2 linked regions of the Lonchura striata genome follow. The protein of the gene in region 2 interacts with the protein of the main gene of each other region in a pairwise test. Links are inferred from orthologs where the notes say so. Each region holds a gene or a part of one and is shown on either strand. Other genes may lie near its edges.

Region 1 (7,201 bases), on a different chromosome or scaffold from region 2:
ACCCTCTGGTTTGGTGGTCAAAGACAATCTATTGGGAAGTAAACTAGAGATTGACTTGCCACCCTGTGAGAGCACCAAGCCAGCTCTGGCAGCATGGGGCTGTACTCCAGGAGCAGAGCCAAGGGATGAGGCAGACAGCTGAGCCAATGTCGGCTCCTTTTTTTAACTGCCGCCAGGAGAGCAGCTACTGGGATAATAATTCTGTGAGCAGTCAACAACCAGCTCAGCTGAGCTGCCCCTACCATCAGATGCATCCATTACATTGCAAATTGACAGCAAATTATCCGTACCAGCAGCAGAAATGATGATGTGCCCCCGTGGATGCACAGAGATCCATCCCTGCACACACCGCCCTCAGCCCCGACAGAGCACGGGGAGATGGCCCAGCGGGTGGAGGCACATCTCACCCCATCCCTCACTGCTTCTTCTGCTACTTGATTTTACTGACATTCCAGCAAAAAATCAGCGCTTTGCAATGATCACCCACGGTGGTGAAATCTGCCTTTAATGAGAATTCAAATAATGTCCCTTATTCCCTCCCAAGACAACTGAAAGAAGACTCTGAATAGCCCCGGAGTTGGCTTTATCCTCTTAATTACCCTCTGTAATCAGAGACCAAACACGGAGGATCTGGGCAAACAGCAGCAATATTTAATCATCACTTTAGACCATCTGCAACTGTTTTGCAGCAACACGTAAAGTTTATGGATTCCTGAGCTTTGTATAAATGGCCAGGTGCTGTTTAATTGTATTTTTTGTTGCAAGAGGTTTCTTTTCCTGTTCTGGCAGACACTTGGTGCTGAATTGGTGGCACGGTGCCTGCAGTCTTCCACGCCAAGTTTGGCTCTGAGGGAGAACATCTTCTTGCTGAAGCAAGGGCACAGATTACACATTTAGAGGAGAAAATTCAAAATAGTGTAAGAGGAAAGCAATTATTTTGGGTTGTGCTGAGGGAGGTTGAGAAGACCAACTCATTTGCAGCAAGAGATTAAAATCAGAGAGCTGAGGCACCACTCCACCTCCCCGACAGCCGGTACCATCCCTCGATAAGGACAGCCAAGGAGACCTTGAGCCAGCCCAGAGCAGGGAAGCTCCCAAATCCAGGGCTGGAGTGGGCCAGGAGCTGCTGGGTGAGCTGACAAGCCACCCTCCCCTGGCCATCTTCTTCAAGCCACCCTCCCCAAAGGCAGAGCCTGACCCACAGGATGGGAGGCAGTGAAATCTGCTGCTTCCAACTATTTTTCCCCACCTCTCAGCAGGAAATGCCCTCACAGAAGGGAATCTCATTTTCTCAGAAGCAGAGCTATTTGCCTGCCTTCTGCTCCTCCACTTCTTTCACCTGTACTCACCACTGCCCCAGTTCTGGAGGTCTAAATTCAACACCACTGGCTTCCAAAGCTCACTAAAGCACCACCTCAGCTAGTGACACAAGAAGCACCTGCATTCAGCTGTGCTGCCCAGGAGCACACAGAGCCAGGACAAATCCTTCAGGAACTATTTCAGCAGCTGGCTGAAAGCTGCAGAATGCTTTTCCCCACAGCTAAGAACAATTTTAGCAGCAAGAAATGAAATTAAAATTTAGATACCCTGCAGCTAAGCAGCATTTCTTTACCTCGACAGAATAGAGCCCCCACTGTCACAAGCAATCACCCCCTGACCGTGCTGAAAGCTCATCCAAGGGAAAGCTGCACAAAATCCAAGTGAGCAAAGCAAAGTGAATGGACACTCCCCTCCAGAGTGGAGGGAACCTTGGGGAGCTCACATTCTGAGAGCAAGAGAAAAAACAACCAACAAAACCCCAAACTGGAACTTGGCTAAAAAATGAGAAAATTCATTCAGGTTTACCTGTTAAACTTCTGTGTCTTAACCTGCATCCCAGACATGTAAGGGATGGCATTGTTAAGCCCCAGATGGGGTGGAGGAGGCCAAAGACTCAAAGGAATGTAAGGAATGAAAATTCTAATTTGATGTTGAAAAATCACATTTGAAGAAGATAGGGAAATACAGAAGTGGAGTAGACCTTAGACCAGCAGAGCTGTGCTGTTGGATGCAGCAGGGTGTGGAAGGATGTTTGAGACAGAGCAATCCACAGAAGGAAACATCCTGGAGATTATCAAGGAAGAATCCAGTGGAGCTCTCAGACTGCCCCAGAAACTTCAATACCATTGGGAAAACTGCTGAGAAACTTCTCAAACCCAACAGCAACTTGTCTTTTTTCCCTGAGCATCTCCAAAGAACGCATTCCCAAAGCACAAACATGGAGTGAACAGCAAGACACCCCCTTCACTTCATCTCTGTGCCCCACGGAATGAGGCACAGCAGGAGGGCACCGAGTTCCACCAGGAATTCTGCGCTCTCAGCTCGGGAGCACACCTGGCCACTCTTACACCGCCTCGGGGTGTTCTCCTCACCCAGGGAAACGCCACGGCTGCAGCCGGGCTGAGAACTGAAGCCAAGCCCGGCATTATCCCAGCCAAGGTATCCAAATGTTCCTGCAGTTCCAACCCTCATTCCCTGTTCCACAGGGAAATCTGCTCCTGGGACAATAAATCAAAACTCGGTACCTGCACACAGCGAGCCACCAGTGAACGCAGGGCGAGGGAACGAAACGCACCCAGTAAAGGAAAACTTCTATAAAGAAAACTTTTAAAAACGTATTTTGATAAAAAATGAAATTGAAAAGGTTTTGTCGTACAACAGGGAGAAAGAGACGCTGGAACAGCCACGGAAGGAGGAGAGGCCTCGCTGCAGCCCCGGCGGGCACCGATCTGTGCCGAAACGAGACCGGCGACGCTGCCGAGCCCCGGGAACCCGCTCCTACCGGGCACCGCCGCGCACAAGAAGGGGAGAGACCCCCAGAACTTAGCGACACTTTCACCAGACCCCGTGCACCGAGTGGGGCCGGTGACCCCCGCACGGCGGCCGCCCCGGGCCCGCGGCCGCACCGGAGCTGGAGCAGCATCGCTGCCGCCGCAGCGGGGCCACGGGAGCGCAGGGCACCGCGGCACCCGCAGCAGGGCGCAGCCCCCCGAGCTCACCTGGTAGCTGAGCAGCTCCCCCACGTCCATCGCACCCACCGGGCCCCGCCACCGGGAGCCTGTCGCAAACCACCGGGACCGCGCGACACCTGCCGTAAGGCAGGCAGCGCAGGCCGGGCGGCGGGGGCGCCACACTGCCGGAAAGCGAGGCGGTGGGCGCCGTGCCGGGGAGAGGCGGGGAGGGGCCACACTGCCGGAAAGCGAGGCGGTGGACGCCGTGCCGGGGAGGGAGAGACGGGGAGGCGCCACACTGCCGTAAAGCAGCGCGGCGCTGTCGCGAAGGGGAGAGGGGCCGCCGGCGGGGCCCGGGGCGCGGCTCGGGGGCTCCCCGGTGCCTCCCCGGTGCCTCCCCGGTGCCTCCCCGGTGCCGCAGGGCGGGGAGAGGCCGAGAGCGTGACACACCACCGGGGACAGGGGCGCTCGCCACGGGCGAGGCGGGCCCCGGCGCTGCCGTCCCCGCTGTGCCCCGGGCCGGGCGCCGCTGTCACGGCGGGGGAGGCGACGCCCCGCACCGCCGGGCCCGCGGGATCGGCGTTCTTTTGTGGCACGTTCCCACCACCTCCAAAGGCTGCCGCGGTTGTTGCCGCTCCCAGCCCCTCGGGAGCCGTTGTCACCGTGAAACACGCCGGGAGCCGGCTCCCAGCGCGGCAGCGGCGGCCCCTCCGCTTGCCGAGCTGGTGACAAGCCGCCCTGCAATTCCACAAGATGCAGAACCCCGCACAGACTGAGGCGTTTCTCAATTTAACAAATAAGAATAATTAGGAGAGAGGCAACTCGGCCAAAATCCTACTGAATTTATTGCAGCTATGCTTTAAAAAAAAAAAACAGTTTTGAGCTAAAATAATTTTTTTATAATGATCGCAGCTCTTACGCAGTTATCTCAGCGGGAGTCTGGTTTGAGGAATCTCAGAAAATTAAAAAAATATATAATGTTTTTGAAGGAGTCCCTCGCGTCCCCTGTTGTTTCAAGAAAATATAGGAGATCGGTCATGGCAAAATTAACTCAACAAATCTGCATGTTAAAGATGAGATAAATAGAAGATAATTATTAGCTCATCTGGCTTTGGGATATTGAGTGCTCAGATAATTCCCCAGCTGTGAAACCTGCACAATTTGAGACCCTTGAGGGGTACTGGCACATACTAGGAACAGGATTCAGCTACTGGGAAGCTTGACCCCCCCCCACCCAGGGATAACCACAAAAAGCAGGTGTAGCATACACATGGAGAGCACTGGGGATAAGGACTGACCACCCACAGACACAGAATATGGTGAGCTGCTCCTGCCCCAGGGCTTCCCTTGCACCTCATTCCCACTGAGTGGAGCAGCTCTGGGAGGAGCTGGGGGAAGCCAAAAATCATCACTGACAAGCAGAGCCCCAACCTGAGCACAGCCAGAGCGTTCGCCTCGATGAAAAAAGGGATGGAAAATGTTCAATTCACCTCCCTGACAGGACTCAAAGGTCGGGGGATCACTCAAAAAAACAAAAGCAGGAATTTGAAGAACTGAGGCACCGCTCAGTTCTCATCCAGTCCTACAGGGCAGGATGCAATAACAGAATTTTTATCCAATAAGGTGAGTTGGAGCACAGGGACAAAATACTGAATTAAAAAGCAAAACCAGGAGCAAAACCAAAGTATTAAAAAAGCTCTCAAATAAATGAAGGATGGAGACGAGAAGCTGAGTGGTGCTGGGGCTGGCACCAGCCTCTCCCAGGTGGAACATGCAACAAAGCTGGATAAGAGGCTGAAGGCTCTGGATAGGCTGGAGCAAACCCTGGGACTTGGCTTGGTCAGGAGAACAAGGACTCCTGACTTCCACAGGCAGTGGGGTGCCACCCTCAGGGCTGACCATGTCCCCAGGCCTTTGCTGACACTTTTCCCTGGAGGGGCACAGAGGAGCCAGGACCCAGCAGCAGCTGCAGGTGAGGCTTATGCAATGGTCTCAGCATGGAAACGCCAGATCCTCATCCCAGCAAAGCAGGGCTGCAGGGGATGCTCAGAACCATGGATAGGAGCGAAGGTGGGAGGAGGAGGAGAGGAGGAGAATCCTGGTTTAATTTTATTCCGAGTTCAGGTTTCAATCCAGATGCCTCGAGATCTAATTCCGAATAAATAATTGTACTGAGTAACCCAGGTCCCCCAGTGATTAACTAAACACACAGAGGCTCGCTGAAATTGAATTAGTGGTGTGCACTCAGCCGTTATTACCCTCCCCACGTCATGAATATTAATGAGGGGTTATTAAGAAATGTAAATGATGCCTCAGGGGGTTGGGAGCACAGGGGGTGCAGGGCCGTGCGGGCTGATATGACAAACCATTAGGAAAACAGCCTGATTGAAGCCACTTTTTAATTATGTCAGATCTCGCTCTTTGGCGGGTGCAGCCGCGTTTCCGGATGCTTTCGTCTTTATTAAAATGAGAAAAAGGGAACAAGTCAGAGCTGCAATGGGAAACGAGCCTTTGCATGGGGGAAGATTCAGCTGCCCAACAGCCTGGCATGTGGGGGGGACTGGGTCCTGCACCCCACAGGGTCTCCCCCTGGCTCAACTCTGGCCAGGACACCCCCATACTGACAGAGGGGGACACTGGCACCCCCACAGCACCTGCACCCTGTCCCTGGACCCCCACAGTCCCCAGCCCCACCACCCTGCTGCCTGCAGCCCCCTCCCTCAGTTCAGCCTCGCTGGGCAGTGGAGCGACTGCCACAGGCTCATGCATTTTAACAGGCTCTCACAGGGCTCCCGCGCCGGAATGGGAGCTGACAGGGCCAGCTGAGTTAATCAGAGTGGATAATGGAGGGAAAGAGAGAAATCTCAGCCCAAATTGCTGCAGAAATCATGAGCCGGGACTCAAAACCATCGAATTAAGCAGGGATGATGCTTAAAGGGAAAGGCAGCAGTTCTCCCAGCCTGCTGTCCCACTGAAGCAGGAAAGGAGAATGGCCACAGAGCCCCCATCCTCCCACAGAGGGTAGGGGCTGCTGAACATTGAGGAGACCCTGTTCCACGGCAGAGAATCCACAGGCATCGTGGTCCATCCAGCCCTGCCACATCAGGGGGTCACACACCAAACAAAGCAGGCCAGGGGCTGTTCTTTCGAGGCACCGTCAGATCAGATGCTTTATTGTAGTGACGAGTATGGCACAAGCCTGGACCTGCTCCACCATCCCAACACTCACTCCCCTCCGTGTGCTCAGCCTCCGAGAGCACCAAAACTGGGTGCCAGCAAGGGAAAAATGTTCATCAGATGGAATCACAGCCCGTCCCTGTGACCCACCGGCATCGCGCGGTGTCACCGCAGACAGATGGAGCAGTCTGGGACAGGCACGCACACGGAGATCGTTGGAATTCAGGTCTCTCCGCCCTGATAGCTTCATAACACCAGGCTGCTGCTTAATTGCACCCGTAAGTGTTGGAATTACTGAAGGGTAAAATGCAAATGGTGTAACCTTTCCTGAGCTCGCCCGGCACTACTGTGCCAGCTCCATGCCGAAGGGAGCTGCCTGAATCCCTTCCCGCTTCTTAATTACTCAAAAGCTGCTGGGAGATGCCCTCCCCAGGCCCCAGGAGGGAGAGGACAGGCCCCTTATCAGGGTTGTGTGCTGCTTGCCCGAGCTGGAGGCATTGGGGTAGCCCTGAGAGCTGCCACCTCCCCAGTCTGACTATGACACCCATTCCAGCCCCACAGCACCATAGCAGCTGAGCTGGGGCTGTGAAGCTGTAAGCATGGAGCAAAACACAGCCTGTGCCCTCCCTCTCCAGTGCCACCTTCCCACCCTGAAAGCCTGGCACAGCTCCTGGCCAGGATCCCTGTGTGCTTGGTCCTGGGGTCCCGTGGTGCTGGATGCCAGGGCACAGCACAGCAGGAGCTGGAGGGCTCCAGTGCCAGCACAGGAACCCAGCTGTGGTGTTATGGTTAATGAGATTTTCATGAACCTGTGAAGCATTTGGTGGGAGGGGTGGGGATGGGCCCAGGAAATTGAAGGTTGCTGACCTGTGAAATCAGGCTGTGAGAAGCCAGGCACTGAGCTGAGGGTAGATGGGGCTGGAGTGGGGAGGGAAGAGGAAGGTGCAAGGGGAGAGGATGCCTGTGGTCAGGCTGTCCCTGCTCCCCACCTGTGGCAGTGCCATTCACTGTCCTGGTACAGTTGGAGGCTGGGT
Region 2 (8,126 bases):
TTCCCTGCCAATTTTCACACTAGCACATTCTTCTCCAACAGCAATGTATCAGGAGAACCTACAGCATGAGAAAGCAGGGCTAGATATAGTTCCCTATTTTTGCTCCTACCATGGGGAAAAAAGTCAATTGGGCTGTGTTCCCTTAATTCAATTTAAAACAATGTATGGGCATTCCTACTCAAAGTAGAGGACAGAAAATTCAGTCATGTTCAAACTCAGTCAGACTGAAATAACCAAAGATTAATCCCAAGCAGATACTCACACAAACCAAACCTGTGCAAAGCCACACCTTCACTACGTGCTGGAAAGCCTCTTGACTTTTTTTGTTGTTGTCCCAGGTTCAGTCCAGAAGCCAGCCTAAGGCACACCACCCAAGGGCACTGCATTTGGCTCATACCTCAAAGGAACAACCGAACAGGGAAGCACTCCAAGGCTGACAATTGTGGGCAGCACTACAAGAATAGAGGGGCCCAGACAGAACGTCAATAGTTGCCAGACCAATAAACCAGAACTACTCAGAAGTCAAGATCCTGATTTTTCCATTGGAGTCACAAAAGCAAACAGCATTCTAAAAGCTTAAAATTAAGTAACATACAAACATGTGAAAGACATGGAAAGCACAGAGATACAAAGCCCCATACTACAGTACAAAAGAATTACACAGATTGGATGCATGGTTGAAAAGACTGTCAACCACACAATCAGCCGGAGACTCATGGGCATCAACAAGATCTAGGAAGGCAAGGAAGATCGCAGATGACCTCCAAAATTTCTCTACATCACTAAAGCACAAGAAGCTGAAATCCCCTGGACAGTGAATTGTATTCCTGGCATAAGTGGTAGGAGATGGAAAGCAAGTGAGTGTTCTGAAAGAAGAAGGAACAACAGATAGAACAAGCAGTCATCACCTACTTTTATGATCTTTGCAGGAATAATTCCATTCTAAAGTAAAGATGGATTATGCCTGAGCCTTTAATCTGTCACAGCAACAACTCCTGGGACTTTGAGGGTACCCCGTCAAAAGATTCTGGCAATTTTCCAATTTTCACACCAGTAAACCTAGTGGTCCATGAAATTTTGGTAAATTCAGCTGTTTTCAGAACAGCCAGCCGAATACAGTTTCTATATTGCCTTATTTAGACTGATAATAAGCTAATGTCCATAAAGCTACTTTGTCCTAAAATAAGGAATTCCTAATTATCATAATCACATGGCAAGTAATTTAAAATGTCACCTTCCATAGGCAGTACCTTCCTGGAAACTATTTCCTACTCTTCAAAAATGCTGGTAGCACTGTATCAGCATGCCAGCATATGAACACAATCCAAACACTATCAACTGCTACTATTTTTTCCTTTGCACCATCTAATCTCTCACCAATCCTAACAGTTGTAACAACTATTTCTGAATTAATTCTGCATAATTCAAGAGTATCCCATGGTGATGCCTAATTACTGTCCCAGCCCCGGTGTTTCAAGGAAAACACTTTTGTACAATACCACAATGTACCCTCGCTTTGTGCCTGGACTGTTCAAATCTAGGACTTGAGTTCAGGCCTTGTGGGTGCAAACACAAAGTCACAGCCAGCACCCCTTTAACAAGCTCTGAGTATTGAAATTGCTGTGCCAGAACCTGGTAAATCAGACCCCGGGACAGGAAGTGGAACTGCAGGTCTTGCAATTCAAAACAGTTTTGTACTGCTGACATCTTCGGCAATTGTTTTTGAATGGGGGCATGTACTCACAAGCCAATCTGCCCGTCACTGCTGACGGTCCGTGACTTCGGAGGCAAAGAAACCTTCATACCACATCCTTCTGGCCCAGCCAGGATTGAACTCACTGCCCACTAATGTATCACAAAGACAAAGCGGAGCCAGCAGAAGGCTGTGCTCAGTCAAAAATAAACTCCCATGAGAAATAGGAAAGTACCAAGAACAGACCCTGTCCTTCTGCCCTTTGCTGAGCCTTTAAAGAAAGATGATGTGCAGCCTTTAGCTGTGTACCAGAAAGGGAACTAGTAGACAGTAAGAGTCTCGTGTTACAGCACGAGAGGTGAGAATCGAGTGCCATTTGTGTCTGTAGTCAAACAGGGTTATCCCAAACTGTTTTATAGTGGCCTTATCTTCACACTGCCAATGAAGGGGCTGAGGTCATACAGAGGTGGAAGGTCTCTGCAAGGACAGAGGTTCTGATAAATATTCCAGTGGCTCTATTACACTCCAGTTCCACAGAAACCCTTGTAAAACTCTAAATTTCCATTGGCAAGAGCTGAATGAGATGCTCAGCTTCTCCTCACTCCTTCACATCACCCGGGAAGTTCACCACGACTTAAACCGTCAATTTAGACTACGTATAAGAATGGTAAAACACTGGAACAAGCTGTCTGAAGAGTTGATAAGATGCTGCACCCCTGAAAACATTTAAGTCAGGTTGGATGGGGCTCTGAGCAACATGATCTAGTTTTAAGATGACAATGGTCATTCACGGAGGTTGACTAGATAAAGTCCCTTCCAATCCAAAGTATTCTACGATTCTACAGCCATACGACCTCCCAAGATCTGAACCACACAATCAGCCTGATGCACCCAAGCATGTGCTACCAGGCTTGGACAAGACCACAGCCGATGGAAGCATGCCTCTCAGGCGACTCAAGTATCTGCCAGCATTGGCATCGCGGCATTTCAAAAGAAAAAAAGGAAAAAAAGTAAAATAGGCTAGAATTAAATAAATGTATTAGCCGTTTCTAAAGTGGTATCCCCAGGCTCACAACTAATTAATTCTCAGTGATCCACTCCAGCCGTTATTAGAGCCGCTACAAGTCCCAGCACAGCTGCAGCTGCCCCACGCCGCTGCGGAGTGCCTGAGGGCCGCCCCGAGGGCGGCTCCCACCCCGTTCCCGGCCTTTTACAAGCGCGGAGCCGCCGCGCCACGTGGATGGCTCCCGGCGGGAGCGCGGGCCGCCCGGTGTCCCGGCCAGCGCGCTGCGGCGGCGGCGCTGCGGGCGCGCCGGGGAGCCGCCCCGCCACTGGCGGTCACTCGCCGGCGCTGCCGGGCAGCTCCTCCGACCCCTCACGCCGCGGGCAGCGGACAAAGGCCGCCGCTGCCCCGGGCAGGCGGGAAGCTGCGGGCCGGCTCGCTGTCCCCGCCGCCCGGCCCCGCTCCGCCAGCCCGCGGGCCCCTCACCTTGCCGCGGGTCCCCGCCGCCGCTGCCCGCCGCCGCCGCCGGCCGCGCCGCGCCATGGCCGCCCCGCCGCCGCGGGCCGAGGAGGAGGAGGAGGAAGGAGCAGGGAGGAGGGGCGCGGGGCGGTGGCGGGGTGGAGCCGCCCGGCAGCGGCGGGAAAGCGGGTGGAGGGACGGGGCACTCCGCGTGGCCTGCCTCGGGATGGGCAGTGCTGTTCGGATGCTGCTGCGGGTCCCGTGGGCACTCCGCATCGTCCGTTCTTTCCTGCACGCTTTTCGCTGGGCGGCAGCTGTTCGTCTGAAAGAGGCAGGCTTTGGAAGGAAATAGGCTTTCATCCTCCAAATAACTGAAAATGTTTATTTACGCAATACAGGCGGGAAGTGTAAGCCTCTTGAAATCCTCTGGGAAAAAAAATGGAGGGGAGGGCGCAGAGGGGGAATGATGTCACTTTCGAATCAAAATAGTAAAGTCCAATCATTAGTTCAGCACTGCACATTCACCACTAAGCCATGTCCCCAAGAGCCACATCCAAATGATTTCTAAACACTTTGAGGGATAACGATTACACCACTTCTAGGGGAAGCCTGTTCCAATGCCTGACCACTCTTTAAGTGAAGAAACCTTCCCTGGCAGAATCTCAGGCCATTTCTTCTTGTCCTATTACTTGAGACCATCCCCTATCTCCTTACACCTTCCTTTCAGGCATTTGTAGAGAATAATAAGGTGTCCTCCTGAGCCATCTTTTCTCTGGAATAAACAACACCAACTTCCTCAGCTGCTCCTGATCAGACTTGTGCACCAGATCTTTTACCAGACCCTTCTCCAGCTCAACTGCCCTTCTCTGGACACTCTCCATGCCTTTCTTGTAATGAGGAGCCCAAAACTGAAAACAGGCTTAGAGGTGTGACCTCACCAGTGCCAAGTACAGGCGGACTTTCAATGCATTCCCCAGGTTCCCAATTCAACAGCCTTTAACTTTACTGTGAAAGTGAAATCTGAAGTTGAAAGGAATGGCTAGCAGAACTGGTTCCTTGAAACAGCAAGTCAACAGTTCAAATTTCAAAATATCACAAATCCTGGAAAATAAATCTAATCAGAAAAATGTAATTGGGGAAAAAAACCCTAATATATCAAATTTTAAAGCACTTTTCCTCCACACAAGTTCCTATATCATTATTTTTTCCACTGTGCAGCTAGCAGAAAGATGAATACAAAACCAGGCAAACTATTTTTTCTAGTTTTTTCTGAATAACCTCTATTCCTCAATTAAGAGGTTTAATTTTTATTAAAAACTTAACAATGTTTTATGTGTCCCTTTTTAATCAAGGGGATTGTTACTAGATTATGTACTTTGTATTATGATTACCCAATAATTCAGTGAGAAAATCTACCCTTTGAGGAGAGAGTTGCTCCCAAAGTTGTCTGGTTGGGTGGGGTGGAGATCTGTACTCAGCTTCCCCCTGTCCCACTGGCACTGTGAATATTCCCTTGCCCAATGGAATGTGAAGCAGGTCCAGCAGAAAACTGTTGAGACAATGTTTTCCTGATGCAACTTTGATAATAGAAGGATACACTTTCCACTACAGTTGCAAGTCCCCTCATCAGGACACATTTTATGAAGTTCTCTTCCCTTTTCGCACCCTTGCAGCTGCGTATTTCTCCCTTGAAGGGACATTCTCTATCTTGTCAGCATGGCACCCCCACCACGTTCTCTGATGGGGCTATTGCCAGCTGTTCATCATCCATCTCAAAAGGATGGACTCTGTAGGTGGCTCAGAGGGAAAGAGCTCTCTTGGGATCAGCAGTGAAGTATCTCAGTGTTTGCAGTACTAAAAAAGGAAAGTATGTGTGCCATTCTCCTTATGGGATTTGAGAAAACAGGGGAAGAATTGATGACTATGTCTGAACTGGAGGAATCTCAGTATCAGGTCTCAGGGTATGTTTCACACCCAGGTTTCTGTCTGGTGTCTTCCACAAGCCCTCTAGTCTGGATAGTGGAATAGAACAGCAAGAAATTCACTTGCCCATGTAATCTGGCTGAAATAAACCCATAAAAACTACCTTTATAGTTTTTGAATTGGTAAAAGCAAATCAGAGGAACAAAGTGTGTTATTCTGTAGCTTACCTTCAGACACAACTGTGAGTTGCCATGTTAAAAATAAATTCAGATTGTTTCAACTGTTTCAGTACCTTCTGGATGACAGAGACTTAAAAGCATTATGTCTTTTTTAATTTAGGGGAGCACTTCAAAATGCACAGTGCAGTCTGCCTACTCTGATGAGTTCCCCGATCTGACTAGGTATTTTAAACACTCCACTGTAAATATTGACTTAAAATAAAAGTTAGAGGAAAGTAACATTTTTCTGGAAAGTGAAGGATGGATGAGCTCTTCCCAGAGCCTCTCCATGTACCATTGCATATGATCCTCAGTGTAACACATGGTGGGCTACCCATTTAAGTATTTCCAAACCTTTATATTCCAGCCATATGGAAGGTATTTGTTAAGAATGTGAAGGAAGTTGTTACAAGCAAACAAAGAAGCATTTAGCCAAAGCAGGCCATTTAAACACTGGTTTGCATTGCAATATCCACTACTGAAGCACCTGCTGCTACCACTCAGGGCGCAGAAATAAGAAGGTTTGGGCATGAGGTGGGGAGAAGGGCATTCAGTAGAAGACAAAATGTGGGAATTATGTATAATATCAGTAAAATTGAAATGCAGACTTCTTAAAAGACAAAATAATAAAGATCTCTTGTGCAATACATTCCTGAAAAGCTTGTATATTATGTCCTCCACTGCTGATCCTGGGCTTGGTTCTTTCCCTAGTCCCCAGCAGTCTACATTATGAAGCACTTTGTTAAAAGCTGTCAACATGCTGTCTTGGATTGCGAACAACAGATTTGAAATGGCTGTATTGACTGTCCTGTACTAAATTAGAGTGAATAAAATTGAATTCTCTTACAATAGAGATGTACAGCTATTATGCTGTTACAAATACATTATGAACTGTCTGATATTTTCAGCTGTTTTATGCAATTTGTTGTTTTGGCTTTGTTTCTCTTTTTCTCCCCTAACTTTCCATTTCATTTTGTACTTTCACATTCATTCTCCTTCTCAGCATTTCAAGTCCTTCTTGTCAGTTATTGTTCTTTATGCTGCCTTATTAGAAGTGTGGGGGGGTTTAAAATTTTGTTAGTTTAATTTTTCTGTGGCTGTAGCTCAAATACTTCTCAGTGTGAATTTTCCATCACTGAATTCCTGTCCATTTTCTTTGCCTCTTGTCATATTATTTCCAAGTTCTTTTTTCTAACCCACAACAGTTTTTGTGTTATTGCCTTGTCAGTAGGATCTCATCATCTGCTCAGATGAGGTTTAGCTGAATTCCTGATACTTTTCAACTTCAGCTTTATATATTAAGCCTGAATTATTTTGCAATGACTGGACCCAGAATAGTGAGAGCATTGCTGATAATGTCTCAGTCCAACTCTTCGTGCTCAAAACTATACAATGAAACTCATAACAATGAGCTCTGTCTTGGGCTCAGTATGACTATTATAATCAGACTGAAATTTCCAAAGAGAACAAATGTGTACTAAAGGAATTATGAGCTAGTCAAAATATGCATCAGGTATAGCAGATCCATTAATTTATGGGATACTCAGTAACAACATGATGCACTGTAAAATTACAGGACAGCACCAACACCTCTCTAAAGTGGCCATGTAAACAGAAAATTTGTTTCCTGTGAGTTTCAAATTAACAATACCACTCTAGTTTATCATTTTGGACTTTACTGCCATGAATTTACCAAGCTGGTTGAACATCAAAATCAATCCTTGCTGCTGAACTCTGCTTTCACTGCTCGCTCTAACAGTCTACAATTTGGGGGCCATTGTAATCACAACTGGGAGCTTTACTCCTATCTTCCTGCCACCACACTTCTCTAAGACCTGTCAAGCATTTTAAATAGCATGCACTTTCCCACACTTCTCAATGAATGCTGACATACCTAACTTAAAAGGATTACTTTCTGCTGAGAGGAATTGTAATCTTCTTTTCCTGCTCTGCAAATCCTCTAGTAAGTGAAAAAGAAAGGCCAAGATCTGTTCTGCTGTGCAGGGCAAATCACCATCGCAGAAGGCATAGAATAAAACAACAACTCTAAGATTTACTTGTGGTCACGCTTGTCCAGGAGCTGTGTCCCTGACTATTAACTCATTGGCATCTTCCATCACTATTTCTGGTGCTTTGATATTTTCTGGGTTAGTTTCTAACAGCTGTATGAATACACACACAATTGCTACCATGAATGGTGTTCATGACAAAACACTCTTCTCAAAGATGTCTACAAAAAGGTAGAGACACAGAATTGCCTTAACTTGAACCCAATTTTTAATATTATGTATTCCATTACCAAAACCCAGAAACATACTTTACCTTATATACAAAAAACTACTGTTCTTTCAACCTGGCTAAGGTAAATTTTCAGAGTATTTTCAAAAGCTGGCATGGAGGACTATGTTGGTGGTGAAGGTTTGTGCTCCAACAGTGGGTTGTGGGTGGTATTTGACAGAACAACAAAAGCACAAATGTTCCTGCTACCTTGATTTCCACCCACTCATCTCAAAACCTTTCCTTACACATGGTGATTGTTGCAACAAATTGGCTTGTGGGTGAGGTTGAGGGCTTGGGTGATCTTACACTGCCAACTGAAAATGAAGCCACAGGTTATTCTTTTGCAGTAGTCACCTGAATGCTGTCTAAGACAGCTTTCCCCATGCTCTCCCATCATTCCCTTAAAATTCCTGCAAAAAGGGGGGGGGGGGGGGGGGGGCGGGGGGGCAGTGTGCCAATAAAGCTTGTATTGCTGAAAATTCATTTTTGACGTTTTATATTGAAAACAGTATTTTGTTGCTAGTCAGTCACAAAGGAGATGAGCCAGGAT

Evidence for each region.
Region 1: the proteins of CDCA7L (region 2) and CTNNBL1 interact in binary tests that used the Homo sapiens proteins (3 or more experiments, as listed by UniProt). The link is inferred for Lonchura striata from reciprocal best matches to the Homo sapiens genes CDCA7L and CTNNBL1.

The regions. Positions count from the first base shown.
Region 1 is NC_134619.1:8,136,055-8,143,255, forward strand, and holds the start of CTNNBL1 (beta-catenin-like protein 1), read right to left. Parts: upstream 3,183-7,201; 5' UTR 3,069-3,182; coding exon 3,039-3,068; intron 1-3,038. UniProt on the Homo sapiens protein: Component of the PRP19-CDC5L complex that forms an integral part of the spliceosome and is required for activating pre-mRNA splicing.
Region 2 is NC_134603.1:125,523,493-125,531,618, reverse strand, and holds the start of CDCA7L (cell division cycle-associated 7-like protein), read right to left. Parts: upstream 3,241-8,126; 5' UTR 3,240-3,240; coding exon 3,183-3,239; intron 1-3,182. UniProt on the Homo sapiens protein: Plays a role in transcriptional regulation as a repressor that inhibits monoamine oxidase A (MAOA) activity and gene expression by binding to the promoter.